Linked DNA regions of Tribolium castaneum. The protein of the gene in region 4 binds, or shares a complex with, the protein of the main gene of each other region. Links are inferred from orthologs where the notes say so. Each region holds a gene or a part of one and is shown on either strand. Other genes may lie near its edges.

Evidence for each region.
Region 1: U4-U6-60K (region 4) and LSm3 share a complex: the UniProt entries of both Homo sapiens proteins name them as parts of the precatalytic spliceosome. The link is inferred for Tribolium castaneum from reciprocal best matches to the Homo sapiens genes PRPF4 and LSM3.
Region 2: the proteins of U4-U6-60K (region 4) and peptidyl-prolyl cis-trans isomerase H are in contact, whole or in part, in a crystal structure (PDB 1MZW), measured with the Homo sapiens proteins. The link is inferred for Tribolium castaneum from reciprocal best matches to the Homo sapiens genes PRPF4 and PPIH. Residues at the interface, in NP_004688.2 of Homo sapiens: Arg113, Gly116, Glu117, Pro118, Ile119, Thr120, Leu121, Phe122, Gly123, Glu124; in NP_006338.1 of Homo sapiens: Phe14, Arg26, Phe46, Cys47, Thr48, Gly49, Pro57, Ile58, Gly59, Tyr60, Lys61, Gln173, Cys174, Gly175, Glu176, Met177.
Region 3: U4-U6-60K (region 4) and U6 snRNA-associated Sm-like protein LSm5 share a complex: the UniProt entries of both Homo sapiens proteins name them as parts of the precatalytic spliceosome. The link is inferred for Tribolium castaneum from reciprocal best matches to the Homo sapiens genes PRPF4 and LSM5.
Region 5: U4-U6-60K (region 4) and SNRPG share a complex: the UniProt entries of both Homo sapiens proteins name them as parts of the U4/U6-U5 tri-snRNP complex. The link is inferred for Tribolium castaneum from reciprocal best matches to the Homo sapiens genes PRPF4 and SNRPG.
Region 6: U4-U6-60K (region 4) and U4/U6.U5 tri-snRNP-associated protein 1 share a complex: the UniProt entries of both Homo sapiens proteins name them as parts of the U4/U6-U5 tri-snRNP complex. The link is inferred for Tribolium castaneum from reciprocal best matches to the Homo sapiens genes PRPF4 and SART1.
Region 7: U4-U6-60K (region 4) and LSm7 share a complex: the UniProt entries of both Homo sapiens proteins name them as parts of the precatalytic spliceosome. The link is inferred for Tribolium castaneum from reciprocal best matches to the Homo sapiens genes PRPF4 and LSM7.

The regions. Positions count from the first base shown.
Region 1 is NC_087399.1:10,143,153-10,146,686, reverse strand, and holds LSm3 (U6 snRNA-associated Sm-like protein LSm3), read right to left. Parts: upstream 1,544-3,534; 5' UTR 1,407-1,543; coding exon 1,386-1,406; intron 1,337-1,385; coding exon 1,229-1,336; intron 1,183-1,228; coding exon 1,006-1,182; 3' UTR 988-1,005; downstream 1-987. Other genes in the region: SCAR (actin-binding protein WASF3), read left to right, coding at 1-670. UniProt on the Homo sapiens protein: Plays a role in pre-mRNA splicing as component of the U4/U6-U5 tri-snRNP complex that is involved in spliceosome assembly, and as component of the precatalytic spliceosome (spliceosome B complex).
Region 2 is NC_087395.1:17,966,044-17,969,679, forward strand, and holds peptidyl-prolyl cis-trans isomerase H, read right to left. Parts: upstream 1,815-3,636; 5' UTR 1,736-1,814; coding exon 1,652-1,735; intron 1,606-1,651; coding exon 1,429-1,605; intron 1,384-1,428; coding exon 1,090-1,383; 3' UTR 1,045-1,089; downstream 1-1,044. Other genes in the region: G-patch domain and KOW motifs-containing protein, read right to left, coding at 1-302, 350-548, 599-789, 841-974; peptidoglycan-recognition protein 2, read right to left, coding at 1,869-2,059, 2,110-2,228, 2,274-2,493, 2,543-2,600. UniProt on the Homo sapiens protein: PPIase that catalyzes the cis-trans isomerization of proline imidic peptide bonds in oligopeptides and may therefore assist protein folding. Participates in pre-mRNA splicing.
Region 3 is NC_087394.1:33,640,447-33,644,087, reverse strand, and holds U6 snRNA-associated Sm-like protein LSm5, read left to right. Parts: upstream 1-2,196; 5' UTR 2,197-2,333; coding exon 2,334-2,376; intron 2,377-2,479; coding exon 2,480-2,676; intron 2,677-2,758; coding exon 2,759-2,788; 3' UTR 2,789-2,818; downstream 2,819-3,641. UniProt on the Homo sapiens protein: Plays a role in pre-mRNA splicing as component of the U4/U6-U5 tri-snRNP complex that is involved in spliceosome assembly, and as component of the precatalytic spliceosome (spliceosome B complex).
Region 4 is NC_087397.1:1,343,935-1,349,449, reverse strand, and holds the start of U4-U6-60K (U4/U6 small nuclear ribonucleoprotein Prp4), read right to left. Parts: upstream 2,831-5,515; 5' UTR 2,690-2,830; intron 2,630-2,689; 5' UTR 2,626-2,629; coding exon 2,457-2,625; intron 1,316-2,456; coding exon 778-1,315; intron 731-777; coding exon 332-730; intron 286-331; coding exon 1-285. Other genes in the region: zinc finger protein 131, read left to right, coding at 3,723-4,010. UniProt on the Homo sapiens protein: Plays a role in pre-mRNA splicing as component of the U4/U6-U5 tri-snRNP complex that is involved in spliceosome assembly, and as component of the precatalytic spliceosome (spliceosome B complex).
Region 5 is NC_087395.1:18,415,901-18,419,613, reverse strand, and holds SNRPG (probable small nuclear ribonucleoprotein G), read right to left. Parts: upstream 1,822-3,713; 5' UTR 1,694-1,821; coding exon 1,662-1,693; intron 1,617-1,661; coding exon 1,469-1,616; intron 1,414-1,468; coding exon 1,363-1,413; 3' UTR 1,309-1,362; downstream 1-1,308. Other genes in the region: zinc finger Ran-binding domain-containing protein 2, read left to right, coding at 2,178-2,858. UniProt on the Homo sapiens protein: Plays a role in pre-mRNA splicing as a core component of the spliceosomal U1, U2, U4 and U5 small nuclear ribonucleoproteins (snRNPs), the building blocks of the spliceosome.
Region 6 is NC_087395.1:24,228,532-24,233,764, reverse strand, and holds U4/U6.U5 tri-snRNP-associated protein 1, read right to left. Parts: upstream 2,801-5,233; coding exon 2,623-2,800; intron 2,576-2,622; coding exon 1,929-2,575; intron 1,877-1,928; coding exon 509-1,876; 3' UTR 195-508; downstream 1-194. Other genes in the region: APC7 (anaphase-promoting complex subunit 7), read left to right, coding at 2,943-3,011, 3,059-4,207, 4,459-4,932. UniProt on the Homo sapiens protein: Plays a role in mRNA splicing as a component of the U4/U6-U5 tri-snRNP, one of the building blocks of the spliceosome. May also bind to DNA.
Region 7 is NC_087399.1:1,124,924-1,128,756, forward strand, and holds LSm7 (U6 snRNA-associated Sm-like protein LSm7), read right to left. Parts: upstream 1,857-3,833; 5' UTR 1,724-1,856; coding exon 1,697-1,723; intron 1,643-1,696; coding exon 1,328-1,642; 3' UTR 1,256-1,327; downstream 1-1,255. Other genes in the region: glucose-induced degradation protein 4 homolog, read right to left, coding at 1-189, 391-558, 749-895; ENGase (cytosolic endo-beta-N-acetylglucosaminidase), read right to left, coding at 2,148-2,265, 2,317-2,789, 2,976-3,833. UniProt on the Homo sapiens protein: Plays a role in pre-mRNA splicing as component of the U4/U6-U5 tri-snRNP complex that is involved in spliceosome assembly, and as component of the precatalytic spliceosome (spliceosome B complex).

The DNA.
Region 1 (3,534 bases), on a different chromosome or scaffold from region 4:
AGGCGGTAAAGTCCGCCCAAGCCAGCCCCCACCCGCACCACCTAGCAACACGAGCACGCCCTCGTCCAATACCCCGACGCGAGGGCGGAGCCTCTCCGGCCGCGACAACCTACCACCACCGCCCCCACCACCCGACACGACCATGTCACCGCCCAACGGCATCCCCGCACATCTCGCCACCCAATCGCGTTCAAACAGTCCGCATCAAGCCACACCTCCCGAACCGGTGCAAGACTTACCTCCACCACCGCCCATACCTAAGCAAGCCTCGCCCCCCAAACAACAAACTCCACAAGCCCCGCCTCCGCCACCACCTCCACCAATGCCGTTACTGAACGGCCCGACGACTAGTCCCCCATTGGTTAACGGCGATTTGGCGAAAATTATAAATAGTGCGTCGCCGCCGCAATTGACACCTGTCAAAGATCGGCCAAAGCAGGCGCCGCCTATCGTCGATCCCAGGAATGATTTACTCAAAGCTATCCGAGATGGGATTAAGTTGCGCAAGGTGGAGAAGATTGAACAGAAGGAGGTGGAGAGAGGGAACGGTTTCCACGATGTTGCGAGTATTTTAGCTCGGAGGGTTGCAGTCGAGTTTAGCGATTCGGATTCAGGAAGCGATTCGGAGTGTGATAGTGAGGGTTGGGGCGAAAATGAAACGTCGGCGTGACATAGAAGGAAGGCTAGCACGGCTAGTCAAGTGTATTGAAGCAACGAATTTTCAATTTTTAACGAGCAAACTTTAGCAATATGCCAAATTTCCAGTATTATTGAGGCATTGCATGATAAGCTTATTAGATTGCGTTTACAGTGGATGGTTTTGACTTGGGTTGAGATGTACATATTGTAATGAACGTTTTATTTATAAATTAAGTTGTATAGAGAATTATTTAACTCGTACTATCCTAATACTCCTTTTTAATATTTTAACCAATTATCAGGAAATCTTTGTAAAATACGATATTTAATGGGTAAATAAACATCATGTCAACGTATGTGTTTTATTTACGAAGTGCGCATTGGGGGTGAGACCAAGATCACGCCGTCACCTCGGACGAAAAGCATGGGAATATTACGTTTCGTCGTTCTGTAAACCTCTTCATATGTTTCTTCATCGATTTCAACCGTGGTTATGGTCTCTTCGGCGTCGCTCAGGATCATGTTCATGTGTTGGTCATAAGCCTGGAATTTCGGTTTGTGATGGATGGAACTTTGTTAGACAACTTACGTGGAGTCTGCCCCGGATTTCTCGATCGTTTCGCATTTTTACATAAATACGTTCGTCTAAACTTAACCTCACTAAATCGAGCGGTTCTTTGACGGTGATTGAGGGAATCTGAAAGGAGTGGTAGGTGAAATGTAATTCTAAATGAAATGGGTCTTACATTTTCTAAGTCATCTGCCATTCTCACGAAAGATGATACTTGTTTGTAATATTAAATTAAACAGGCCAAAAGTTAGGTTAAGTTGTCGTTACAGTGTCGCCACAATAAGAACACCTTTTTCGATTTTAACGATATTCGGACAGACCGGTCTTGGCATGTAATAAAATTCGGGCGGAAGGTGTTTTTTTGAATCTAAAAAAAATTTGTTTTTTAATTAAAGCCACAGATTATTACCGCGTTTTACTTTTTAAAATAATACAATCACTCGTTTTAGGGATCATGCATAGTTTAACACTCACTAACACTTAGAAATCGGCAGATTATACAGGGTGATTCTTTTAGGACCTACATTAGAGACTTTTTAACTTTAAAAAAAACTAGTGCTTTAAAAGCGACTATTTGAAATTCAACTAAATTATTTTCAAAATTTCTGAGCTTCCGGAACCACGACAAATTGGCGCCAACTTTAAAATTTTGAAGAGTAACTAAACATTTTTATTACATTTTTTAATTCACTCTCTCAAAGTGAGTAAAATTTATTAAAATTGTTGGTACTTATCTGTCTTAGTTTTACATATGTCAATTTTTTTGGTAAAATTTTTATTTGCAAGGGTTTATTTAAATTATCACAGCCTTTGAACCGTTTAGGAGAAGTGAATATATTTTTTTTTAATTCGATTATCGGAGTTTCGAAAAGTTTTCTAAAATTTTCAAAATTGTCAACTGTCAAAATTCAAGGCTAGTATGATTTTTTTAAATGGTTATTAAAAATAAAATCGGCTATAATTCAGTTTTTTCAAATGGATCGACTCTATTTTCTTAACGGCAATCGAAAGAACAATATTCATGGTGATTTTTATCAACACGTCCTGTACCTTACCTGTTACAGTTTTTGAAAAAATCACAAATAACGGATTTTACTTCGTAATTTTTATAGTTAATCAAGTAGACCTTGCAAAATGGTCAACAATTGTCAAACTTCGACACTTTACTTAGTTTTTAGCTGGTTCATTATCAAATAAGCAGCAAAACATTAATATTTAATTATGGTTTATGCTAACTTAGTGAATAACTCAGTCAGTTTGCCATCGAATTTTGAACTTTTTGAGTGAAAATGGGGGACAGTTTTAAAATTTCTGTTAATCATTAGTACAATTTTATCGTATTTTTTGAAAGGTTACTCGATTAAAAATGAAAATAATTACCTTGAATTCGGTTTTTTGAGATTATTTCAAAAACTGTAAGAGATAGATATAGAAGATGTTAATAAGTCTGCATAAAAATTGATGTTCTTTTGATTGCCATTGAAGTCATTCCATTTAAAAAAACTGTTCTATAATTGTTTTTTAATTATCATTTTCAAAATATCATAGTAGCCTTGCAATTTGACAGTTGACAATCGTAAAGATTTCAGAAGACCCTTCGAGCCTTTGGTTATCAAATGCAAAAAGAATTATTCACTTATTTTAAAGTACTCAAGAGCTATGATGTTTTAAATAAACCTCTGCAAATAAAAAATTTATCAAAACATTTGACATATTTCAAAAACTAAGACAGATAAGTACTAACAATTAGGTTTACATTTTACTCAGTTTCAAAAGGCGAATTCAGAAACACAATAAAAATAGGTGGTCACCATTTAAAATTTCAAAGTTGTCGCCAATTTCTCGTAGTTCCGGAAGTTCAGCCATCTTGAAAATAATTTAGTTTTAACTCAGAGTGATCGATTTGAATCGTGTACAAAATTTTAAAGCTCAACCTATGTTAGAAGTTAAAAAGTTTGTAATATAGGCTCTAAAAGAATCAGCACGTATATAAAATTACTGGTTGCTAAAGTCCATTCGGAATTAAAATCAATTTTCAAATTGTTTCAACGTTGGCAACTCCATTTAAAATTAGTCGTCTATGTCAATGTGGCAGGGTTCCAACATAATTCCAAAATTTTTGACACTGACAATTAATTTACAAAAAATGAGGTTTATAAGAGAAAGATTATTAGCACCGCACTAGACCTAGCTACCAACCTAACAACAACTTTCTATAGCTTAAATAACCAAAAGCACGACCGACATCCCAATTTAGGGAATTCCAGCAGGTGGATTGGCAATGATTATTCCACCAATTGCATTTCCGTTGATTCCGTATCTTA
Region 2 (3,636 bases), on a different chromosome or scaffold from region 4:
TTGAACACTTATTATACTCCTCACTCGTGACTGGCACAATTAAAAATTCATTTAAGCTTAAAATCTCATTCGTGAGAGCTGTCTTCACTATAACTCTGCAATTTTCGTCATCCAGACCCTGGACTTGGCAGTATTGACTTCTGTGATTGCCGGCTATTATTTTACCGTAAGCCCCCTTCACAAGCTGGAGCGCTTTACCCTCCTTATCTACACTTTGTGAAGGGGTGCTGGAATTGACCATTTTATTGGCACCCAAGCCCAGGCCTTTGGGGCGCAACTCTGGGACTTTTGGGACCTCAGATCTAGAAAAAATCATTTTCAGGATGTGTTTTAGAAAAGTTAAACCAACTTTTTGGTCCTTTTCCCAATTGGCATTCCCTCTTTCCAATTCATGCCACGTAACATCGCCATACCAAAATCTGTAATTGGTACACTTTCGTAGTCGTCGAGAGACGACTCCTGTGCCCCCTCTGCCACAAACTTGTCGTCATTTAAAGGCAAGGAGTAGACTTTTGTCTCGCTTTGTACAGTGTTGCGAGTCTGTGCCTCTGAAAATTTTATTCACACTAGAAAATCACTTGAAACATAGGGTAAGTACCTCGGATTAACTCTCTTGCCGCTAATTCGTCAAGAGATAGGGCAGAGTCTGGCACAGAATTTGCCTCCCCTGTCTCTTCTTTAACTTCAGGTTTGACGTGTTTTTCCCTCGCTTTTTTTATTTGGTCTATTAATTTGTTTGATGGGCCTTGGATTGGTATCACCAACGGCTCATTTGTCTCCTCAACGGCACTAAAATGAGGTTTTTGGCAAAAATAACATAACCTCAAAAACGAAACATACCCTTTTATTTTAATTGATTGACCCTCTAAACAGTCAATTAGCTGTATCTTATTTTCGGGTTTCGGAACACTTGACCTGATTTCGGTCTTTTTACTAATTTTGCTGAAACCGAACGATATTTTTTTATTTTCCATTTCACGATTATTTACGTTTTTGACAAGTGAGGTTATGGGACCACCAACCTGACAAAATAAAAATTTAAACTAAGTTTTATTTTGTGCTTTTATTATTAAAATTTGAATTACACTACTACATTTGGCCACATTGTACAATTGTGACCGGGATTTTGGGCTTATTGTTGGGCCCCGTGGGCACGTTTTCGATTTTCCGCATGACGAGAAGTCCGTCAATAACGCGTCCAAACACCACATGTTTGCCGTCCAGGAAATTACACTTTGCACAAGTTATGAAAAACTGGCAACCGTTGGTGTCTTTGCCGCTGTTTGCCATTGATAGAAGTCCAGGACCGTCATGTCTTAGGTTAAAATTTTCGTCGGGAAACGTTCCGCCCCCATATATACTCATAACGCCGGTCCCATCGCCCTAAAAATATTAATTAGTTGCGGAATCGCATCCCGTGATTTTTACATTGACGAAGTCGCCCCCTTGGATCATAAAGTCCTTGATAACTCGGTGGAAACTAGCCCCCTTGTAGCCCAACGGCACGCCGTCTTTGCGGAACTCGCCGGTGCAAAACTGGCGGAAATTATCGCTGGTTTTGGGGACCGCGTCTGCGAATAACTCGAAAATCATTCGGCCGATTTCCTGTAATCGAAAAATACAGTTTTCGGAAATTTTGGGTTATTGGTACCGTAGTTCCGACGGAAATGTCGAAAAACACGACCGGGTTCGCTGGGTGCTTCAACTGGGCTTGAATTTGGTCCCAATTCGGCATTTTTACGGTTTTTAGTTCCCTAACCTCGAATAATCAAAACAACATAACCTCAAACTTGCGACTAATGGGCGCCATATTTAAATTCAAAATCGTATGCTTTATAATAATTTTATTTTAAAAACTAGAATACAGTTTATTTCGGCGGGGACCTGGTAAAGTGCGGCCAGTTCTGTAGTTCGCGGTACAGCTTTAGGCCCGGACTTTCCGTCGCGCTGACTTGGCGGGCCCCAAACAGTTTGAAACTTTTGCCCAACTCTCCCAACTCAACCCCGCATTGGAGAAAATCTTTAGCGGCTTGTATCTGCTTTTTATTTGGAAGTTGAGCTGTAATAAAAGGCTCGTAAAGTACGAAAATAACACGAAAAACAACCTACTCGTGTAATTGCCGATGAAACCGAGCCCCAAAGACCGGGAGTTGTACCCACGTGTGTGCGCCCCCACTTTGTGCCAACCTGCGCCCTCGTAAATCTGGCCGTCACCACCCACTAAAAAACTAAACCATAATTAAAAAAAAAAAAACAAAAATCATCAAATTTACTTGTATCCAATATCGTGAAAATCTAGATTTTCCATGTGAAAATTCTGAATGTTTCGCAAAATCGCCGCACATTCTTCCTCAGTGCTGCAAGTGTTGGTCACCGTGTGGTGCACGACCACGTTTTCGACAGGGATTAGGGCGTAATCCACTTCCAAAGCAGTGCGAGCCCCCCATCTAGTGCGACTCACGATTTCGGGGCACACTGCCGGCAAGTTTGACTCTGGAAACACCTCATTTAGCAATGGATGGGGTTTGAGCGGTGGTTTTACCTGTTCGAGCCAGAATTTGGTGCAAAATTGAGAAAATAATCACGAACTTTCGTCCCATATTCAACTTTGCCTTGTATGCAAAATTAAAATTATTTATTTAATTAGCACGTCCTTTAATGGAACAACACGAGTAACCTTCGAGATGATAAACTTCTGCATTTATATACGGTGACCTGTGGGGTCTATGACTTTATCTTCTTGTTATGGTTTTTATCTCTGGGTTGTGGGGATTCCCGATCAGGGACTTCACCAACGGTGACTAAAGTTAAATAAAAACAAGAGCAACGAATTTAATTTTATTTTTGTGCTGGATTTTGCAGTCTTCTTAGACGTCCTTATCACTATCAGTTCTTATCATGTTTTATTAAATCATAACTTAACGTAATTTTCGTTACGCAGTTATCAAGTCACTTAGATACGGGGGGCAACTCAGTCAGTTAATTCGCAAGGTTTGTGCGGGAAAAAAATTTTGGTTTTTAAAATTTTGCAAAACTTGTTGAGAGGCGCTGCCCGTCCGTTGTTTACTTCTTTCAAGGTTGCCTACACTGACCGTCTGGAATTTCATATCTTGACATTTGTGATTCTGCGAAAATGCCTAAATAAGGTCATTTTCCTAAAAAGTGCCGATAATTCGTGATGTAGTTGAGAAGTTTTGCTTAAAATTAGTATTAGAACGGCAGCTTATTACCATGGATGACCTAGGTAAGGACACAAACGCTTCGCTTATCCTAACCACCTGCCTCATAACCTAAATTTGTCCCAAGTTAACACATTATTAACAGGCGTGTTATCAGTAGCGATTGAAATTAAATTGAATATTAATCTTGATAACACCAATATTTGGAAATTGGTGCAATAATTAAGTGGGAGGTCAGCGATCAGCGGTTGCAAAAATGTTGACTTGTTGCAATTTTGTAAACAATTCGCCTGACAGGTGTCAATTAAACTGACGTAACCCCATTAATTCAGTCTAAATTTATTTGGCCGGCAGCTGGCAATTCGAATTATAAAACTGTTTTCTAGCTTCATCTTTCCGCATAATGAATGGGTCTTTTTATAAAACTCTTTCAGTCGGATGCGGAGGACTATTTCTA
Region 3 (3,641 bases), on a different chromosome or scaffold from region 4:
CATTGAATCAGTATTTTATTTAAAAAAAGTTAGATTATGTATTTAATCCTTAAATGCTATGTCCTTTTAAATATTAGACAATTACACAATGATTTATTTATTATTGTTAGTCTTTCACAGTTACGACTTTCAAAGTCGTAATTTTTTGTCTCTTCTTTTTTTATTAGTTAAAACACAAATGTGTTCAGCTATTTTGCATTTGAATTCTATGTTTGGTTTTCCAGACATCAGTCTCAAGCAAATTTTACGAAGCACTGAAAGTCCACCACACGACTGATTCTGTACGTAAAAAATACGTTTATTTGTTAATTTACGTGAATTTTTGCCCAAAACACCATTTGAGCATCGGTTATTTTATGAATGACATAAGGAGTAATAGTTTTTCTGTGCAGCGACTATAATAATTAGTCACAAAAAATCACATGCACAGAGAATATTTAATAGCAAACGCTGAATTTTGTGTAGTAATTAGTTTATATTTTAGACTCACCTTGAGGAAGTCACGAGAAGCTTATCATGTAAAAATTTGAAAGTATTTTGGCGCTTTGTTCTTTGAATTTAGAATACAATAAAGCATTAAGCGTATTTTTTGTATAAACATATCATGGCGTTTTTATACGCGATGGTCCGTTAAGTCCATCCTATTATGCGTTCTACAGTTATTGTCAAAGTTATTACTTTCACCACTCCTGCTTTTCATGCTCATGATATGCGTTCTGGCATCGGTAATAATGCACAATGCTGAAATCGATACATCAAAATTATTCAAATTTTATTCATAGTTCTACATCAGTGTTGATATTCCCCACTTATAGATTTATGTTCCGCGTTGATATTTAGGTAAACAACGTCATGATTTATAAACACTACTGCTTAGCAAAGTGTCTAAGTTCCTATGTTTGGTGTTGGAAGTAATCATTACTTTGTACACTTTTTGTGCTTAAAATCAAAACAATTTGCGTTTGACATGAGTAAATAACTTGTCTTTTATCTAAAAATGCCCATTTCAACGGCATATCCTGTCGTTTGCATGTCTTTTGGTTGCTTTCCTCCTGTGTACCTGTAATATGCTGAAAGTAAAAATGTGGAAATCCACTTGACATTTTCTTAATAGCTTTCAGGGAAATGGAGATGAGTTTACTTTCTTTCGCCACAAATATTGGAATACATTAGAACTAACGTGAACTTTATAAAAATCTGTGGAAACAAACACTTTGTGTGAGGAACGTTGGGAAAAATAGAATATGATTAATACAAATTCGTTCAGGAATTTCCTGGCCACATTCCTTGTTAGCGGTATATCCAAAGAATGTTTATTATTCCCATAGGTATATCGGTCGTGTCTAATCACAATTTCATTATAATAATCCACATAATGATAATGTCAACCACAGTGGTCAAGTTATCATAATAGAATATTGTTTGCTGCAAGTAGCATTTTAATGTGTTTATTTAAACAGCATGGACAGGGCAACTGAACTCTTCCAAGATAACTGTAACACGAATATAAATAAAAGAAAAACTCCTGAGAAATAAAAATAGCTAAGCATTCACATTCTGCTACAATTACCATTTATTCCCCGATATAAATTATACGCTCTCGAGCTGTCGTGTTATAAAAATAGAGCGTTATAAATCATATTAAAGAGGAATAAATCAATGTGTAGGGGTATAAAGCTCTTAGAGAACGTAAATATAGGCTAAACCAAAATAACACCATTGTTTCAATTAACTGGAGTATACTGACCTTTTATTACAAATTGATGATTTTAAATTCCAAAATTTACTCCACGAACATTATTGTCACGATTTTAGACACAAGTTCACTTAAAAATACGATTATTTATTACAAAAAACACAAAACCTACAACTACAACACACTCAACTCCCACCTCGGTCGGCATTTGACGAAAACGACAAACGACTGAAATACCGAAGAAAGCCGCAAAGCGCATGACCTGTTACACTGCAAGAGCTCCAAGCTCGCACATACGCGCTCCAAAAGAAATAAAAAATAAAAACAATTCATGCATTCCACGCCGTAAAAATGTAACCATAAGGCGGTAAAGTCTTAACAAACGTGTGCCACTACTTTTTGTAATTGTCTTAAGCCGTATTTTGATCGTTTATTAAATTGTTCGGTTCCGTAACGTAAGTCCTAGCTTGAGCTTTTTGCTGTAGTTGCGACACTAGCGCCATTAAGCTCCTGTCAAAATCCTTTTTACTGTCAAATTGATTACTTTTTGCTGTTTGTAAATGTAAACAGTTGTTTCAAATATTTATTGCTAATTTAAGAATTTATAATTATTTGAACGTATTATTAAACGGTCAGAATGACTTCCATGCCTGTGTCTTCTTCCACCTTGCTTCCGTTAGGTGAGTAAAGCAAAAAAACGTAACGTGTTTTTTTGGTTATCTGCCGGTGTTTGAGCATTCAATAATAATCATTAATTTATTAACGTTGTTTTTGCTATTGTAGAACTTGTGGATAAGTGTATAGGGTCAAGGATCCATATTATTATGAAAAATGATAAGGAAATCGTGGGGACGTTATTAGGCTTTGATGATTTTGTCAATATGTTACTGGAGGATGTAACGGAATATGAAACAACGCCTGAAGGAAGGAGAATTACTAAATTGGACCAAATTCTGCTTAATGGGAACAATATAACAATGGTACTTTATTTTGTGCTTCGTTTTTATGTTTAATATGCCATACTGTATCTAATTAATTCTTGAAACTAATTCAAAATTTTAGCTTGTTCCAGGTGGAGAGATGCCAGAGTAAGTCATTTGAATAAAGTATAAAATAAGGGCATTTTTGTGTTTGTTTAATACCCTTTTTTGTATCATAAAAAGCTCTTATTTTTGATGAAAACAACACTGTACATTTAAGGAGAGATGTGTTTGTGTCAAATTTGTCCTAACTGGGCCTTTTAACACAAAAAAATAAGTTGTTCAGAACATTACTTTGTAATCGCGGGTTAGGCAACCACCTTATCTTGTTGTATAATGTGTTGCCAACTACTCCAGGCCTTTACAATGAAAAAAGGAATGGAACGACGTTAGAAAATAACTAAAAGTCGTAAAAACGGTTCGTTCCAGTGAATTTTGCGGCTCATTTTACCATATATCAGCTTTTTACGCAATTTAGAACCCACTGGAGTTGCTAAAAGTCCATATGTTCGATTTTTTTTATCCAATTTTTTGTCTCGATTTCCGGTACCCGGAACATTTATATAGGTTTGGACCAAAATAGTTCCATAATTTGAAGAGAGCCGGCCAGCAGCATTTTTTTTTCACTAAAAAAAGTCGTAACTCAAAAAAGTCGTAAAGCAAAATGGTTTGTTCCAGCGCATTCTACGAATCACTAAACTAAGGTGGGGGTGAAATAAAACACCGTTGTACTGTTATTCATTTATAGAAATAGAATAGACATTTTTAATCACAGTTAGAATACTATTCAAGTTTAAGTTTCTGATTAAACTACTCTACAGAATTTTGAAACTTTGTTAAGTTTAATCTCAGAAAATACTGTATTCAGGGTTTGCATTAAACATCTCTTATAGTCAACGAATCGTAAACTCATTATTCATCAACCACAATTTGTAATATCTATTTTGATTTAAAAAGGTTGACTG
Region 4 (5,515 bases):
GTCCACAATTTCGCCGTGTTATCGTACGATGAAGTAATTAGGTAATCGCCGCCGTCCCTTTGAAACTTCACCTCCGAAATTAAATTCGTATGAGCTGGGATTGTGTACAAGACGGAACGTTTGCGCAAATCCCAAATTTTGCAAGTGTTGTCTTCGCTAGACGTGGCAATGTGGTAGCCATCAGGGGAAAAATCTATCCCTAGAACCGCCTTTAAGTGACTCTCCATGAACATGATGCATCTTCCGGTCCTCAAGTCCCACACACGTCCAAATGAGTCTAAACCACTGTTGGGAAATTAATTATTTGTCACAATTTACCAAAAGTATTTACCCTGTGGCACAGACCGATCCATCAATCTGGAAGGAAATACAATAGACAGGTTTGACGTGTCCTTCCTGGTGTAAAACTTCGGTGCATTGCTGCAAATCCCACAATCTCCAGGAACAGTCAAAGCAACAAGTCCCGAGAAACCTTCCAGAGGGATGAAAGCCCAACCGGGAGACACGATGTGGCATATGGCCCTCGATATCAGCGATCGGTTCCTCGCTTTGAAAATCCCACAATTTTACTGAACCATCGGCTGCACACGATGCCATATTGCAAATATTTTCCTCCTGGCTGATTGTTGCTCTAGGGTGGAAAATAATAGCACTGGCATTACAGGCGTGACCTTTCAGGGTCTGTTTGAGTGTGCAGTCGGGCACTGACCACACTTTACACAACCCGCTCCTTGAATCAAACAAATAATTTCATTTCACTTATTAAATGATAATTACCATCCAGCTGTGGCTAAAAGTTTCGAATCTGGACTAAACTGGCAATAGGCAATAGGTCTCGAATCGCCAATCTGACTCGAATAAATCGACATAATCTGGAGTTTTTTCTGTATTTCCTGCTTCTTGGCTGTTCTAGTAGCCGTTGATAAATCCTTCGCTTTTCTGGCTTCCTCAAGCCGGGCTTTGGCCCGCGGCAGTGAATAGTGCGCTATCCATAATCTGGCTATTCGCAAACTTTCGGGGCCTTCATGATACCACGTTGTTTCGAGATCTTTTTCGAAATTTTTACGTTCTTCTTCGGCTTCGCGTCGAATGACTGCGTCTTCACCGATACGACTTAGTATTTCACGGAGGCGTGAACGCCGATCTGCCGGTCCTTCCCCGAATAGACAGATCGGTTCTCCCAATTGGCGAAGGTTTCGTTTCACTTCGGCGTCATCGGTGGAGACGTTAATAGAGCGCGCTTTACGACGACGCTCGAATTCCTCCAAGAGGGCTTGCTTGTCGCGGGACATGGCGTCCTCAAGCTCCATGTATTCTGAATAAATTAAACGTAACAGTATTTATTAGATTCAAGTGAAAGATTTTAACATAAAAACAGGCACCTAAGCACGCATTTTTAATAATTGTGTGATAATTGCTGTTATATAAACATTTTTTTTATTTACCATTCGTAGGTACACCTACAAACTGTTCTTTTTAAAAAGCAAAAATTATATAAAGCTGGGGCCTATGGCACAACTTTTTTCAATTTAATATTATTGTGCATTTATGGCATTAAAGGAGTTCTAATACGAATTATTTATTTAATAGCGCAATAAAGCATTTGATTTAATAACACCGCGGCTGTCAGTTTCAAAGCCAAAGTGCAAGTTAATCGCTGTATTAAACCTGATTTTTTCCTGAATCACTCAGGTTTTATATTTTTTTAAAAATCTGTAATCATATTATTTCGCATGACAAAGCAACTCGAGTCAATATGTGAACCTAGTTATTGACTGGGCCGTTAATAAGCCACTCTTGAGCGCTTCAAATGTCACTAAATGTCGACTGGCAAAAAATTTATCACAAGAATTTGGAGAAAATATTGGCTACAATGTTGAGACTTTAACCTTCTGCTTACCAGCTTTTTTTGAGATAAATTACGATGAAATTCATTTAAACGATCAGTTACAACGATAAATTTTACTCTTAATACTCTCATGTAATAAAGATACCAGGGTAAATTACTCGGTTTTTTATTTTTGAAAAAATAGTAGTTCATAAAGGAGTTTTAGCAAAATCAGTGGCAAAACTGTTAAGATAAAGTTAACAATATACTCAAAAAATGGAATACAACTGGACAGGTGGAATTAGTTTTACTGGTTGCATCAGATTTCAGAACTAACTCATGACTGACTCACCCTGTATAAATAAATAAATAATAAGATTTTAAGTATTCTAATAAAAAACTTTGATTCCATGACTCAAAATTTGGTTTTACAGAAATTACAAAAAACAGAACCTGGGTTTTGAGCCACGAGGCTCCATTAAGGAATAAGAAATATATAATGTACCACTTGTACTAGATTTTTCGTGAATATTTTAGCGCTACATTAAACTGATGTTGACTTGAGCTTTAGCTCATTTGTGTGCGAGGTTTTGGCATTTGGACGAAATTACGGATGCCAAAGTAATACCTGTGGAAATGTGAACCTGTGGCGGGTTCGCCGACGTGCTTTCGGCCTTTTCATTGCTATCATCGTTCCCATCGCCGGCTGCTAACCTAGCTCTTTCCGCTTCCTCCAACGAGCCGTAGTGAATATTTTTGGTTTTTTTCACGTAAGGCGCGTCCTCATCGTCGGACATGGTGCTAAAAATTGAGCAAAAATGAGTATTTGTGCAAGTTAATTCGTAAAAAACGTTTGTTTACATGTTATCACTGCTATCGGTTCAAAACGTAACGTCAAGTTGACATTTGTCGCAAAAAAAGTAACCAAAACCGCCTGGTGAGTTCAGTGTAGCCAACGGCAAGTTTTTACGATTTCTTCCACAAAAGAAATATTTCTGTTTTCTTTACATAGCGTTTTGCTATCTCTGTCTAAATTTTTTTCCAAAAAATTCCATGAGAGAGAGAGATTATCAAGTTCGGTCCGGAAATCTTAGTAAATGTACGATGTTGTGCCGCGGAAACCGCCTAAATAGCCGTGCAATGTCCGTGCTGGTGTTTTGTGTGCGAAAATCGTGAAAGAATCGGTGAATTTGTGCGAAATCGGCGCGACGACCGATCGTTGAACTTGAACAGTTGATAGATTTTCTCTTTCTTTCCCAGGCTCTGAAAAATCTCAAGTTTATAAAAATAAATATGAAAGGCCTAATTACAGTACAGTCCGAGTCTGTGTCGGTTTAATTTTTGACCCCGTTTTGGATCTGCGTTAGTCGAGTTTGGTGCCGTTAGTTAGGCTGAAAAGCCGTTGCTCTCGACAAATATTTGTGTGTGACGAAAAACCTCGACAATTCCCAAGATTTTTTACGCGAGAATTTTTTAAGACGTGCGGTATTGATTTGCCTTAAAGGCTTGGCCCGGCGAATATACGGACTATACATGGTTTATAGGGGTCTTACGTGGTTTCTATTGGCTCACTGACTCATAAAAAACTAAGGGACACATTTTTTGTCGGAATTTTCCAAATGACTGAACATTTACATACGCGTCTCCAAATTTTTGAGAAATCCTCGGCCGGACTTTGTATTGTTAAACCTCGCAAAAACAGTCGACTTGCGGATGCGTTGTGCCGTGCCAGTGAAGTGGTGGTGATTTAAAAAACAAACGCTCGCCCAAAGGCCCCAAAACCGACGAGTATTGATTATTTCGAAGGTCTCACGCTGGTGACTCATTACTTTTTGGTAAATTCGTCATCTCCAACGCGAACAGTCGGAAGGAAGCTGGACGAACATAACCAAAAATGCTGCCTCAACAGTATTGTCTAAGATGGAGGTACCACCATTCGAACTTGCAGACCATGTTCTCGCAGCTCCTCGAGAAGGAGGCCTTCTGCGACGTCACCTTGGCCTGCGAGGGGCGCACCATCAAGGCCCACAAGATCGTCCTCTCCGCCTGCAGCACCTACTTCGAAACCATCCTGTCCCAGTACGAAGAAAAAGACCCCATCCTCATCATGAAAGATGTCAAATATGTAGATATTAAGTGCTTGGTCGAGTTCATGTACAAAGGAGAGATCAACGTCGACCACGTAAGCCCCCTTTAAAAAAAGCAAAACCCTTCAATTTTTCATGACCCCATGAGAAACTCCACTTGGCCCGCAAACTGCCAACAATCGATTCTCCTCGCAACGTCAATAAAACCCTAGAGTTCCTTTATTGGGAGAGTTGGGACACTGAACGTCAAACCGAGCCAATTTTGTATTATGTGGATAGGGTATATATTTCTATCCTTTTTTATTAAAATTTTTGTTAGTAACTTATGTCAAAGGTTTATGTCGAAAATAATTTCAAGGTTATAATTTTTGTCAAATGCATAAAATGACATAATTTTACGTCAAATTTAACCAGGGACGTAGGAAACGTAGATATTACCTACCAATATTAACGTTCACATTTCTGAAATTTTTCAATATTTATTTTAATATTAAATACATAACTTAAAACATACTTCAATGCTAAAAATGCTTTTCTTTCAGTCACAATTTTTAGTAAAACATCTCTTCCCAAAAATTGGTCATCAAAAACCCTTCATATTCCCTGTCGTCTTTTTAAATTTTCTAAAAAATGATATTGAAGGTGTTCTCGTATGAAAAACGTAACAAAATCGTGAATTCCCAATAACTTTACAATTTGAAACAGAATCTAAAGTTCACGTAGATGCTAAAAGCGGCCAAGCAGCGACAGGTTCAACTTTCCTAAAAATTAGAACCAATTTTGGGTTCAAGTACCTACGTATTTTGTAAATACATAGACAAATTCCCAAAATCTCATAGATTTTGTACATAACATTATTTAGACGCTCAACTTTTCCAAAAGCTTGTTAATAAAAATGTAAAACTTGGCTGGAAAGGTTCAATTTCTCTCTCTTTCATCGATGATTACCATTTCTTAAAGTTAAGGAAAAAATGTTTATGATGAAGAGTTTAGACGTAAAATTCTTGTACTTACAAAGAAATCTCTTTTAAAATGTGGAGTTCATATAAAAAAAACAGTGAATTGACGACGACTGCCAGTCTAAACCATTTCTAAACGCAGTTAGTCGACGAAAAATGGAAACATTTTTTGACAAATTTATTTGACTTTTCGCCAAATTTCAAGTGTAACACCACTGATTTCTATCCCAATTTGTTTTTTTTACACATTCCAACCGACGTATATAAAACAAAATTTCGAAAATTGACATTCAGTGTCCCAACTCTCCCAATATAGGAACTCTATAAAACCCCAAACGCCCCATAATTATTACAAAAAAAGCAATTAAAGCACCAACAAGCCCAATTAAACAACAACCAAATCAACAAACGATCGTGTCAGTCTAACAGACACCGGCCCCATCTCATTATCCATGATTTTTAAAAGCCATGGAAACACATGTGTTTTATGTTTAAATAAATTACGAAGCGCCACCTGTTGAGTGGTGACATTACGAAAATGGCACTAGGCGCGCGATTCAAACCCGCCACCGGTCATTTTATCGATTTTAAAGTGCGTCATCGGCTTGGGCTATTATTAAACTCGAATTTAATTTTGATGA
Region 5 (3,713 bases), on a different chromosome or scaffold from region 4:
AACAGTATATTAGACTAATACTTTAATGGAACTCTGTTTGCGGTACAAGACCGGATTTAGATTCGGAGAAAAATACGCATTTTTCTCCGAAAATCTCTTCATCGCATCTCCAACATTTTCTTGATTAAATTCGTTTGTTGGCGGCCCCGGATTTGCTAATTAAAACTGTTATGAAAGTTAAGTAAATCCACCTGAGAATTGTATGAGAATTTTCCTTTCATCACATTCAGAGAAATGAGCAAGGCTCCGGCTGTCTCCGTGAGATTCAATTAAAACTTAACGAGATTAAAAGGATTTTGATTGATTAATATTTTAACGGATTCCTTTTTTACGAGCGAGATTGACGGCCGACAATGACCGCTTAGGATTTTTCGTGATTTGAAAAGACGTAAATAAACGGGGAATTTGATAACGTTACATAATGAAGGTTGTTTCAGTTGAAACGTGATCCCTTTCTGAAAAATATCCTGAGGCGATCAGAAAAGTCTTCTAAACTAATTAAGCCAAGTGATGGATTAAATAAGTATTACAATTGAATTTTTCGTATTGGAAAAACGAGAAAAACTTGGAGAATTTCCAGGAAAAATAAAAATAGAACTCTCTCGAGGGTGGCATTATTAAAATGCTGTTTTGACATGAAAAAGACGGGTCAATATGACGTTGGAAAGTCTCTTAGTGTCATCTTCGGAGTTTGATTGCCGATTTTATCCCAATATTACCCGTCACCTTTCACAAGATTCTATTTAAAAAATTATTCCATTTAATTTGGGGATTGTAGTTATAATGTCCATTGTTTCGGGCACAATTAACTAATTAAAGCGAAATCTTATAGGGCAATACATTTCAGCGTGTTCCTTTGACCTAGTCAAGGGTGGTTGCTTTAAGACTGTTCCTCAAAAAACTCATTTTCCAAGGAAATGACATTAAAATCGAGTGGGTGTTAATTTCGATCCGGATGTTTTCCCGGAAAAACTGTCAATGGGGGCAATACCTGACGCTGATTGTGATGTGGCTCTGGAAAACTCGTCACTACACGAAAATTTTCACTGGAACGTCGCCGCCGAGACGCTTTAATGCCAAACTAGCGAACGTTTCCAATATTTTCCCGACGGTGGAACAGTGGCGGCGCGCATGCGACATTCTCTAAGCTTTTCATACACTGTTACGGACAAACCGCTCGAGGAAAACAATACGAATTGAATTTCTTTGTGAATGAACGCACAAAAGCGACGACGATAATGCTTTCCCTCCTATTACCCTAATTCACTTATTTCCACCCTACCCCAAGCCCAATAAAAGAAAACTCGGTCAGAATCGAACGCTTTTATTACAAATAATTATCGATTAAGCCAAAATTACAAACTAAATCCTATCTAGAGCCTCCAACATGACGATACTGTTTCCCCGGATCACCTGTAATAAACATAACCTCAAATTTCAAATCCACACTAATTCAAAAGAAACGTACCACCATCCCTATATTGTTTTTCTTGCCATCCCGGCACTCTTCCACACTCTCGTCCACCACTAGATTCATAAAAGGGTCGAAACCGCGCAAAATACCAACGACTTGTCGGCCCCCATTCAACTTCAAACACAATTTTTTGTCCATAAATCTGCAAAAAAACTAGTAATACGTTCTACGACAAAACAAGACTCACTTTTTCAATTCCGGAGGATGTGCTTTCGACATTTTGTGTACTTTTTTGAGTTTTTAAAATTTAAAACGCTCTTCAAACGCTTGACACAAACTGACAGATTTGACAGTTGCTAAGTACAGGGCATGATCAGTTGTCCCAATTTTTTCACATTTTTAACGTATAGTTAATGCAAAAAATTAAACAAAACAAGTCATTGGTTTTGGTGATAACTGTAATCAGAAATCGGTAAGTGTTGCGTTGAAATAAGGCAATTGTTGTTTTGGTGATCGTGTCCTGATTGGTGTGGGCAACGTTTGGCGTCGAAAATCCCTCTGTGCTAGTGACATTTCGGTGCATCTTCGGTTTGACGTTACTTTTTTATCAACAAATTTGTTGGAATAACCGCTGGAAAAAGGTTCAGTAAAGGTAAAAGCAGTACCAGTACCGCCAGATGTTAACATTTGCTCCTCCGTTCCCTCTAGTAGTGCTCCTTCTAGCCACTACTCTTTACGCCTTTTCTAGTCTAGTATCGCCCCCATGGAAGAGGCCGAAGTGACACCGCCCCCGCCGCCGTCGCTGAAAAGCCCGTCGGCGTCGAACGAGGGAGACTGGACGTGTCCGGACTGCGGTAACGTAAATTTCGCCCGCCGTAACAACTGTAACCGTTGTTACAAAAGTCGGGGGCCGGTGTCGGCGAAAAAGCGCAAATTGGGGCACGAGATCGGTAAAGCGGCGGCAGAGAAAAGTCGCGGGTTGTTTAGTGCCGACGATTGGCAGTGTAACAAATGCGGTAACGTGAATTGGGCGCGGAGGCAGCAGTGTAACGTTTGTAACGCCCCCAAGTTTGGGGAGGTGGAGGAGAGGACGGGGTTCGGTGGGGGGTATAACGACAGGGGGGTGGTCGAGTATAAGGAGCACGAGTCTGACGACGAATATGACGAGTTCGGGAGGAGGAAAAAGAAGAAAAGTGAGGAGGTGAAGGAGATGAAAAATAGTGTAGATAAGGTGGAGAAGAAGGTTGAGGAGGAAGAAGAGGAGGAGCAGGAGGAGGACGAGGAGGAGGATGACGACGACGGAGACTTATCGAAATATGATCTGTCGGATTGGGGGGATTCAGGGGAATCGAATAGTAAACAAAATAACTCAAGATCTAAGTCGAGGTCACGGTCTCCACAACACGAAAAAAAAAAGTCATTAGTCGAGTCGAAATTTTTATAGACATTTAGGTGAATAAATCTGCTTTGTATGGTGGTAAATTCGAGTTAGGTATACACAATAAACCATTACTTTTATTGGTGCCTGATTTACATTCTTCTTCACCTGAAAATCGAATAGATTCTAGCACCAAGTGACTAACGAAATTTGTTAGTTTTTGTAGTTGTTACGCTGTAAAATATTTATCGTCCACGAGTAACCCATATTAATTGTAAAATTAACAGTGACAACTGTGCGTTCTTCAAATCAGGACTAAAAATCTTGATTTGAGTAGATCAACATGTGTAAACGTGAATCCTTTAGGGGGATTTTAATCTGATGTTTTCTTGTTTCAGTGACTTCCTAAATTTTCATTGCGCCAACCTAGGATTTTCTTTACTTATCCATATAAGCACTTATGTACGTTTACAATAATTACAATAAAGATACAAACAATTTATCGTGTTTTATTTACATTTTCATGATGGTGTCAAATTGGTGGATGCGCCGGGAAAACAATTTTGATTTGGAATTAAATATAGCGTGTGTCAGAACTAGCTCCCCAGAGAAAAAGGTGTAAGAGGGCGAGTCAAAACAAGAAATTATTTGAAAAAAAAATGTATCTCAACTGGTAATCGAGTTAAGACATCCTAAAGTTGGGCCTCTCCGAGAGCAATAGATTAGAGATTTAGTGAATGCTTGAATAGGTATTTTTGGTTGTACTTAAGACCATTTTAGAAATAATAAGTTCTTGTATTATAAATTTTGTCAAAACGTTATTCAGATTCTGTCAATATGACTGTAGTAGTCACGTTCATAATATTTACGTATTTTTAAAGCCTGGTAACCTACTTTAATTCAAGATCATTTCTGAGGTTG
Region 6 (5,233 bases), on a different chromosome or scaffold from region 4:
GATTACCGTGCAATCCCTATCCTAATCATGACTGATAATGGTGCTCACGGAAGTGACGTGAAAGGTCACGTCGAGAGCTGGTCATCAACCATTTATTTTTTTAATTAACTATAACTTTCTGTTCAATATTTTCCTTTATTACCGTTTTGTTGGAAAATATGGGAAATTGGTAATTTCTAATTAAAACACGGAACTCACTTTTAATTCATTTCATTTATCGCAAAAATTATTACACCGTTTGTACTCGTAGGGAGCCAGACTTTAAAACTTATTCATAAAACCATTATCATTATCGTACCCGTCCCTTAAAAACGATCTACAAAACAAAAACATTTCGTAACACTTTTCGTTAGGACTTTGTAAATAAAAACTGATAAAAATGAAACAATTTATACAATTTACAATGATGCCCAGTTTTCCTTAATTTAAAATTGCCACTTCTTTTTAGAGTAGCGCTGAATTTTGTTCACACAAAATTATAGTATTTATTTATTCTTAGTCATTTTACTTAACGCCGACTTTTGGAAATAACCGCCGTTTGCTGGCTCTGCTTGTTCCCCGACAAGACCACATACGGCGACTGCGTCTCCTTCTGCTTCGCTTGCAGCATATTCAAAGTCCCTAAGGGCGTATCCGTCGAACTCATCTTCTTCATCAACTGCTCCTGCACGCCCTTCTTTATCCTCTTCTCGATCTTATTTTTCCCCGGCCCTTTCCCGTGGAACTTATGCGAGAGATACCTGAAGGCCTCCTTCGAGTTCAACACGTGCCCATCATCGTCGATATACTCCAACTTAACATTGGGCTTAAACCCATCCTTCTCCTTAAACTCCATAATGGGGCCAGTGTACCTCTCCCGGCGGTTCGCGCGATCGCCCTCATCCCCGTAGGTCTTGTCCTCGATAGAGTAATGCTTGGCTTGCAAATGCGCTAACCGCGAATTCGACGGCCTCTTATTCTGCTCCTTGTCCAGGTACCCCTTGCTCATTGCAAGCTTCAAAGCTGCCCCAAGCCCTGTACTGACATCAGGCTCTTCGTCGAGGATTTGCACCTCTTGTGGGGCAATTTGCGGGCTTTCGTGCGGCTCGTTTGGATCGACTGAATTCCAGCCGGTTTTCTCCTCCTGCTCGACTTCGTCCATTTCGGGCTCGTCTTTCAGATCACGCTCGAAATCGATCAAATCTTCGGTTTCCTCGCGGTTGCCGGACTTGCCGTACGTTGGGATGTCGCCCAAAGTGCGGCAAAACTCCGCCGTGGCGTTCAGAACAATACTCCCCTCCAGGTTTTCCTCACTTTCGCTTTTAACCGGCGTTGATTTAACAATCTCAGCAACGAGGTTCTCCTTCTGTTTGATTTTGCGTGTCTTGTGCAGCGCTTTTTCCAAGAGATCGTCCTTCTCGTCCTCGAGTTTGACGTCCGTGGGGTATTCCATTTCGGGGATGTCGTCAATGGTCAAGTCTTCGAGCTCTTTCTTTGGGCGTCTTGAGCCGACTTCCTCGATGCCTTTGTTGTTAATTTGTTGCTCCAATTCATCAGCGGTCAGTTTTCCCTTAGTTCGGATTTTGCGGACTTTCTTTTTGGGTTTTTTAAATTTGGACAGTTCCTCGTCGTTGTAATATTCCGATGCGAGTTTTAAATCTTTTGTTTCAATCGATTCGATTCTTTTTTTGGCGAGTTTTTCCTTAATTGATTGCACGATTGCTTGTTTACGTTCAACCGCATTGTCGTAACCGATTTTGAAGCTTTCGCGTTTTTCGCCGTCGATTGTTTCGTCGTATTGGGCCAAAAGCGACTTTTCTTTGGGGTTGCCAAACTCGTCGTACTCCTGGTCTTCGTAGGCGTTATACAAAATCTTCTTCTTCTTGTTTATAACGTTCTGAAATTTGATGATAAATAATCATTCACTGTAAATATTTGTAACAAATTACCTTTTTGTATCTCTCGTCCTCAACCATGTTGACATTGACCAGGACATCCTCCTTGTCTTCATCCAAGACGCCCTTGTCTTGCAGCGTCAAGATAACATCCCTTTCCTCAGCAAAGCTATCAACATCATGCTCCACCCTCAGCCCTTTCAAATTCCTCTCAGTGTATCTCTGCTTCCTCTTCTCCTTCTTCTCATTCTCCACAAACTCGCTGACCCCAAACTGCTCATCCAACTCCTCCAACATTTTCGCCCTTTTCTCAGCCTCCTTCTTGGCCAATTCAATCTTGCGGTTCTTATCAACCCACGACTCCACATTATCATCACTATCACTGTCCCCCAGCAGCTTCACCTTGCCCAGCTTATTCTCCAGCTGGCGCTTTTCCCGAATCGTTGTCAATTTGCCCTTCAGCTTCTCCCTCTCGTGCTTATCCGCCCAATTCTCCGCCGGCTTGTGGTAAAACTCGCCCCAATCGTCCTTCTTCTTCCCGTCATCCCGTTTCTTCTCGGACTTGTCCCCCGAACTCACATCGAGCGGCTTCAGGCCGAGCTTCGCCCGCAGTTTGTTCGTTTCCTCAATCGAGAGACTCTCAGCGTTTTGCCCGGAGCCCGAAGGCTCATCGTCCGGAATCACCTCGATCACGTCGGATCCTGGCAAAAAATCATTCAAACGGGAAAGTTGGACGCGGGGTGCTTACCGTCGCTGTCGTAGTCGTGCTTCGCCCTCGCGTCGCGCTTCTTGTCCCTGTGGTGCCTCTTGTGGCGGTGGCGCTTCTCCTTCGGGGGCTCATGCTCGTCGGTGTAGCCGGGGCTGTGGTGGCGCCGCTTACGAGACTCTTTCTCTTTTTCTTTGTATTTTTTGCTACTAGAACCCATCCTTTTTACAAAATTTGAAGGAAATACCTACCGTACACAACGTCAATGCAACGTTTTGACGTGCGCGAAATCCGGATTGGTGGTTTCGCCGTTACGGGATTTGCCGAGTTCAAAAACCTAACCCCACATTTGCCAAGCCAAGATGACCAACTTATTGAAGCAATTGCAGGCGATGTACGAGCTTGCCCTGCACTCGAACATCTCCCGAGTGGTTTGTAGCCCCCTTTTGGGAGTCTGAGCCCCCAACTGTGCTTTTAGTGCGACTTGGCCCTGTCGGCGTCCGAGCAAAAGCCCGACTTTTTGCCCCCTTTGCAGAAGTTCCAGGTGATGTTGCTGTACGCCGATTCGCTGTACGAGACGCAACAGTTCGCCCAAAGCGAGAGTTTGTACCGCCAGGCCTTACAGCTCCGCAAACACCTCTTAAAAACCAAGTCAATGTCTAATAAAATCACGGAGAGTCAGCCCGAACTGGCCAGCGATGTGGAGATCAGGTTCAAGATACACAAGTGCTGCATGGCCCTGAAGCAGGTGAATGGGGCCATCGAGATGCTGCAGTCGATTCAGGCCCGCCTGCGGACCCCCAAAGTCAACATGGCGCTCGGCAACTTGTACAGGGAGGCCGGGATGGAGCGCTCGGCCATAACGTGCTACAAGGAGGTGCTCCGGGAGTGCCCGCTGGCCCTCGAAGCCGTGGAGAACTTGCTCAAGCTGGGGGTGAAAGGGGTCGAAGTCAACGCACTAATGGTGGAGGCAACTTCCGAACTAAACTGGCTAAACCTCTGGCTCAAAGCACAAGCCCAGTTGTACTCGCGCGACTTCGAAAACGCCGCCCAAACGTACAAAAGCATGGACAGCCACGGTCTACTCAAAGACAACACGTCGCTGCTGGTCAACCTGGGCTACTGCTACCACTACATGTGTGAGGACGAGACGGCGATTGCAGTCCTCCAGCGGGCGATTAAACTCGACCAGAACCTAGTCTTTGGTCGCGATTTACTGGCCACGCTTTTGGCGAGCTCGGGGACTTCCGAACACGTTGAGTATTTGGAGGATTTGATCCCGACCTCGGATATGTCGCTGTGGACGAGTGAGCATTGGGTGGTCATTGGCAATCTGATGTTTTCGACGAGACGGCACGAAAAAGCCGTTTATTTCGCACAGCAGGCGCTTTGTGCCTCGCCCAAAAACATAGAGGCGTTGCTGCTGAAAGCCAAGACGCTGGTGGAGCTCAGCAAGTACCAGGATGCCGCCCAGCATTGCACGGAAGCGATCCAGATCTGTCCGTTTCGATACGACTTGCACCAGTGTTTGGTCGAGTGCTATGTGAAGATGAATCGGCTGAGGGAGGCCGACTCCATGGCGCAAAATGCGTGCAAACAGCTCAATTTCAGCCCACATTCGGTTACGGTAAGTGAAAAAATTGTAATACGGTAAAGAGAGAATTGGCTGTTAGACTGTTTTTTTGGGACGAATTATTTTAAAAACGTATCACTTTTTTTTCGTTTGCCTTCATCTGGCAAACTAATGCGCTATCTGAGAGGAATATCGGGATGGGACGTTGTCTTTGCTTTAGGTGTCGAAACGGATTAGGCGCCATTAAGTTGTTTTCTTATTTATTCCTCAAATAACAACAATTACAAAAAATAGTTTCACTGCAGTTGCACGCCTCCGTTTTACTCAAAGACCCGATGACGTCCGGGAAAACGGTGCGAAACCTCCTCGAGAAGGCCGTGAGCCAAGACAAGACGTTTTCCACTAAGGCCGTCTGTATGCTCGTGGAGTTGCTCGAGCAGGAGCAGCAGTACGACCAAGCTCGGCAGCTCCTGCTGAAGCACGTGGAACAGCACCCCACCTCGCGCATCCACCAGATGCTGGGCGACTGCTACGTCAATTTGAACAAGGACAGCGAGGCTTTCCACCACTACAACGTGGCCCTGCGGCTCGACCCGTCCAACCAGAGGGCGACCGAGGGCCTGAGTTGCATCGGACGCAACGTGTCTTTAAGCAAAAGGGAGAGCTACTACACCTGCGTGGGGGAGACGTCGTACACGTCGCCAGGGACGAGCGCCTCCGAGGACGATGTTTTTGTCCAGAACGATACCGAACCCTGGCCTACCAATATGAGTTTCTAGGTGATAACAATTTTTTTTACAATAAAAATATTTAAAGTCACGCGACTTTGTTTTCAACAATCACAGGGTTACATTTCCCTAATTATTTACGTGTTAAAATACAAAGTGTTAGTACTATCACGGGGAAAAGGTTTCATTTCTTTTAGAATCTAGGATACATTTTTGACCCAAACAAACGTCCCTAAGCTAAACACAAGCGGCCGCGGCCAAGCCAAACAATAAGCGCTTGTTCGTTTATAAATTTGTTACAATTAAGACAATTATTGCTAAAATAATCTCAATTTCCCAAAATTCTCTTCGC
Region 7 (3,833 bases), on a different chromosome or scaffold from region 4:
AGATTTTTGAAAACAAATGTAATAGAAACCGGCAAACGAGGCCCCACTTATGTCTTTAATCGTATGGTCAGGAACAAGAAAATGCTCCTTCCACCGCATAAAAACATAGTCGGTGTCGCCGAGCGCCTTATAATCGAAATTGTCCGAATTGAACGTTTTGGCGTATTGGGAAAACGACGAGAATTTGCTCTGCAACAAGAGATATGTTAAGAAAATAATTATACAAAAAAAAATATATTAAGATAGTAAGCTGTGACTGTCCATTAACAGTTGACATTTGGGTTGGCGCCTTCTAGATTGTGAAAATAATAATTATAAGATAGTGAGCTGCGATGCTTGGCTACTTGTAATTTTTGAAATTGTGCTAAAAACAAAGATTTGGGTGCTCACCCAGTGTTTTTTGTCCACGTCCTCGTCGGCGTCCCACTTTCTGGTCAAAAACGGGTACTTTTGGCTGATAATTTCGCCGTCGAAAAACGTAGTCAAGGTGGGATACTCATCGGTGAGCCCGTTAATTTGCAAATAGCCACACAAATAGGAGTTTTCCTCGTCGACGTGCTGGAAAAACGAGCGAAATTTAAATTTCCCGCCATTTCGGATTGCATTAGCATATGTTGATATTTTTAGTTTTCTTTAAATAAGCGGTGAGCAAAAGGGACGTCACACGTCCTACAAGGGTTCGAACGGTACAAAGTCATCGAAATTTTGGTTAAGGGGGGCAATGGTGCGATTATTTGCAACTTCTAACCTGTAAAACCACTTCCACTTCGTACGAATTGCCTTTCGATTTCTGGAAACCTTGAAATTTGGAGCCGTTGTATAAGAGGGACTTTGTTACCCCCGGCTGTTTTGAATTGGCCGGCGGGGGAGGCGTAATATCCACCCTGACCGGCATTTTTAAAGCACTTTTGCACTCAACTGTCACCAATGTCACTTTTTTGAAAGGAAAATGGCGGCGGTGAGTCATCCGAGTCGGTCAGAGCGTTTTTGCGCATGCTCGGTGCGCAACAGGGCCATTAAATGTGTGGGCGACTGTACTCAACCGTAGTTTTGGACAGAAAAACCCATTTTTGCAATCAACTGAATCAACCCAGATTTATTATTTGGGGCAATTATTCGTTAATCTCAAGCGTAATTAACACGTTTTTTGTGTGTACGCTTTAATTACTTTTGGTTATAAGCATTGGTGGTTGCTTACGCTCATTATAACTAAACTTCTAATTAATTTATTGAGCTAGTTTGTGCAATAAAACAGTTTTATTAATTTTTTACCGGTTTTATTCAAAAAAACGTCTTACAAATTAGAGGTATTTTTATGGTACAAAACTTAGTCTTGGGATATAAAGGGGTTCTGTATGGACTCCATGCCGTCCATGGGGCATATGAGCACGACACTTGTGCCCCTACAGACCACCAAACCCAAGGCCCTCGTGTCTTCTGTTAATTTATAAGGGTCGTCTGGATCTCTCAAGTATTCGATTGTGTTGTCTAAGACGAGGTTCAAAAGGGGGTCATAGCCTTTTAAAATACCACTAGCTTCTCGGCCGCCCGCAAATTTCACCCTAATTGTCTTTTCAAGGTATTTAGAGAGGTCTAGAATCGACTCTTTACGTTTCTTCTCTTTTTGGTCACCGCTCTGATTCTACGGTAAAAATGGGGGTTGAGGGGGCGAAATGGGGCAGTTTGGGGTACGTACTTTTGATTTGTCACCTGACGATGCCATTGTTCGGCTTTATTTGTGGAATTTTGCCGATTTTGAAATTCTAACCTAGAATACGTTTGGAGGTGACGCGTGCATATGGTCTCCTATGCGCACGGAACCTTCCGATTAATTTTGAAATAAAAAAAAATAATTATCGGTTTGTAAAGTCCAGCAATTTCGTAATTAATTTTCTTAGCTTCTAAAGAATTACGTAAAAATTGACGCAATTTTGGGACACAATTTGTAGAGGACTGCTTGCGCAGTGGAGGTACAAAGTTTCAAATGAAAAATGCAAAATTCTCGGTTATCATTTATTCAAAAAAAGTTATTTACACATTGGGGCGTTACTAAAGCATTAATACATGTTAACTATTTGGGCTTCAAGCCCTGGCAAAATGTACAGTATGGCAGAAAATTGTTTGTACTGTTGGTCACGAAAGTTGTGTCAGAGTACTAGAACGTGCTCTTCGACTCCAAGACCGCACAAATAAATCGCTTTTCCCTCCTCTAACGTACATCCAATTTCCAATAACGTACACGGCGAACAATCAAACTGATAAACACTGAAAAAGTTAATTAGTTTTTTTTTCCTACCAAACGTGTGACCGACTTACGCAATTGTTAAATTTTCGTGTAGAAACAAATCGTCGTTACTTCTAACGACGTGATTAACAAGTGAGGGGTTTATCGAAGGATTGATTTCCATTAACGTACAGTTTTTAATTAGGTGTTCTTTGACGGTGCTATTGCATTTAATTTTTCTAATTGTACCGTTTTTATCCGAAGTGAGGAGATTTAAACTTAATTGAGCGGCTTGTGCGCGTACTAGTTTCGTCAAAACGTAAATTGTGATAACTCCAGATAGGAAAATATCACAGGTGAAAATACGATGGACGTAACATATTGAACTATTCAAAAATTCTTTAGTAATTAAACACCTAACACCAGTACTGGTGAAAGCACACTGTAAACAGTTGCACTTATTGTTCAGTGTTGGTATTTCGTGGTGGTTGGGGACCCATTCTAGTGACTTTGGGTGCTTGATTTTTGAGAGTTGCGGGTGTTGCGTGAACAGGTCGTAGACGTCCTTAAAATTAATGCATTTGTTTTTATTAAGTTATTATAATTTTACTTAAAAAGTTATAACCCGCTATTTACATAAGACAAGGACAGAGCTATAGGAGTTCCGATAGGAAAGAGTGAGAGAGAAAGGGCGAACTATTTTTCGTAATACGAACTTGGGCGCGTTATAACTAATTAATTAGTTAAATACCTGGTTAACTCCAGTGAAAAAACTGGTCTTGAAGAACCTCGTAATGGGATGCGTGTATAAATAGGGCCACAGACTGTTCCAAAAAGCCGAGTCTCGATTAATAAAATCCTCGAAGAATTTTTGCCGATTTTCACTTTTGGGCAGCGTTTCGTGCGTCCAGCCTGGCGCGAAAATCGCCATTGATAAGTTGTGTCTCCTTATCATCTGGGCGGCCTTGAAACAGTTGAATTGACCGCCTCCGAAGGTATTGCGACCGAAGACATCCACCCCCACGTAAACGTCCAAAGTCCGATGCTTTGCAAATTCAATCGAATTGTGGATATTTTCCTCAGTCCATACGTAATTGAGGAAAATACCGTCACAATTATCGAAGAAAAATTTATTAAGGGGGTTGAGCTCATTTTGCCATTTCAATTCGCCCGTTTCAATGATACTGTCGTACCAGATGATTAAATGGTCGGGGTTTTGGGTGTGCGTTTGCACCCCTAAGTAGGCAACGAATTTTTTCAACATTTCGGTGTCTTGGAGCGAGTTTTCGATGTTGAGGAGCCACCCGTCGAATTGGAAAATTTTCAAAATTTGGGTCAAAGAAGTTGCGAAAATTCGCATCGTGTCCTCGTCTTTGAAAATCTTCTCGCAAATTTTTTTCCCCGGCTCGAATTCTGTTATCAAAGTTCCAAGAATTTTCACGCCGTTTTGATGCGCGGCATTTATCCAACACAAAGGTGGGATTGTGATTAGGTGGTGACTGAAGTAAACGAAAATATCGATGTGTTGCCAATTATAAAACGAGTACAAATTCCCGATGTTGCTACTTGACAAAAACCTGTCTTCCAAATAGCCACCTTTGTAGTCATG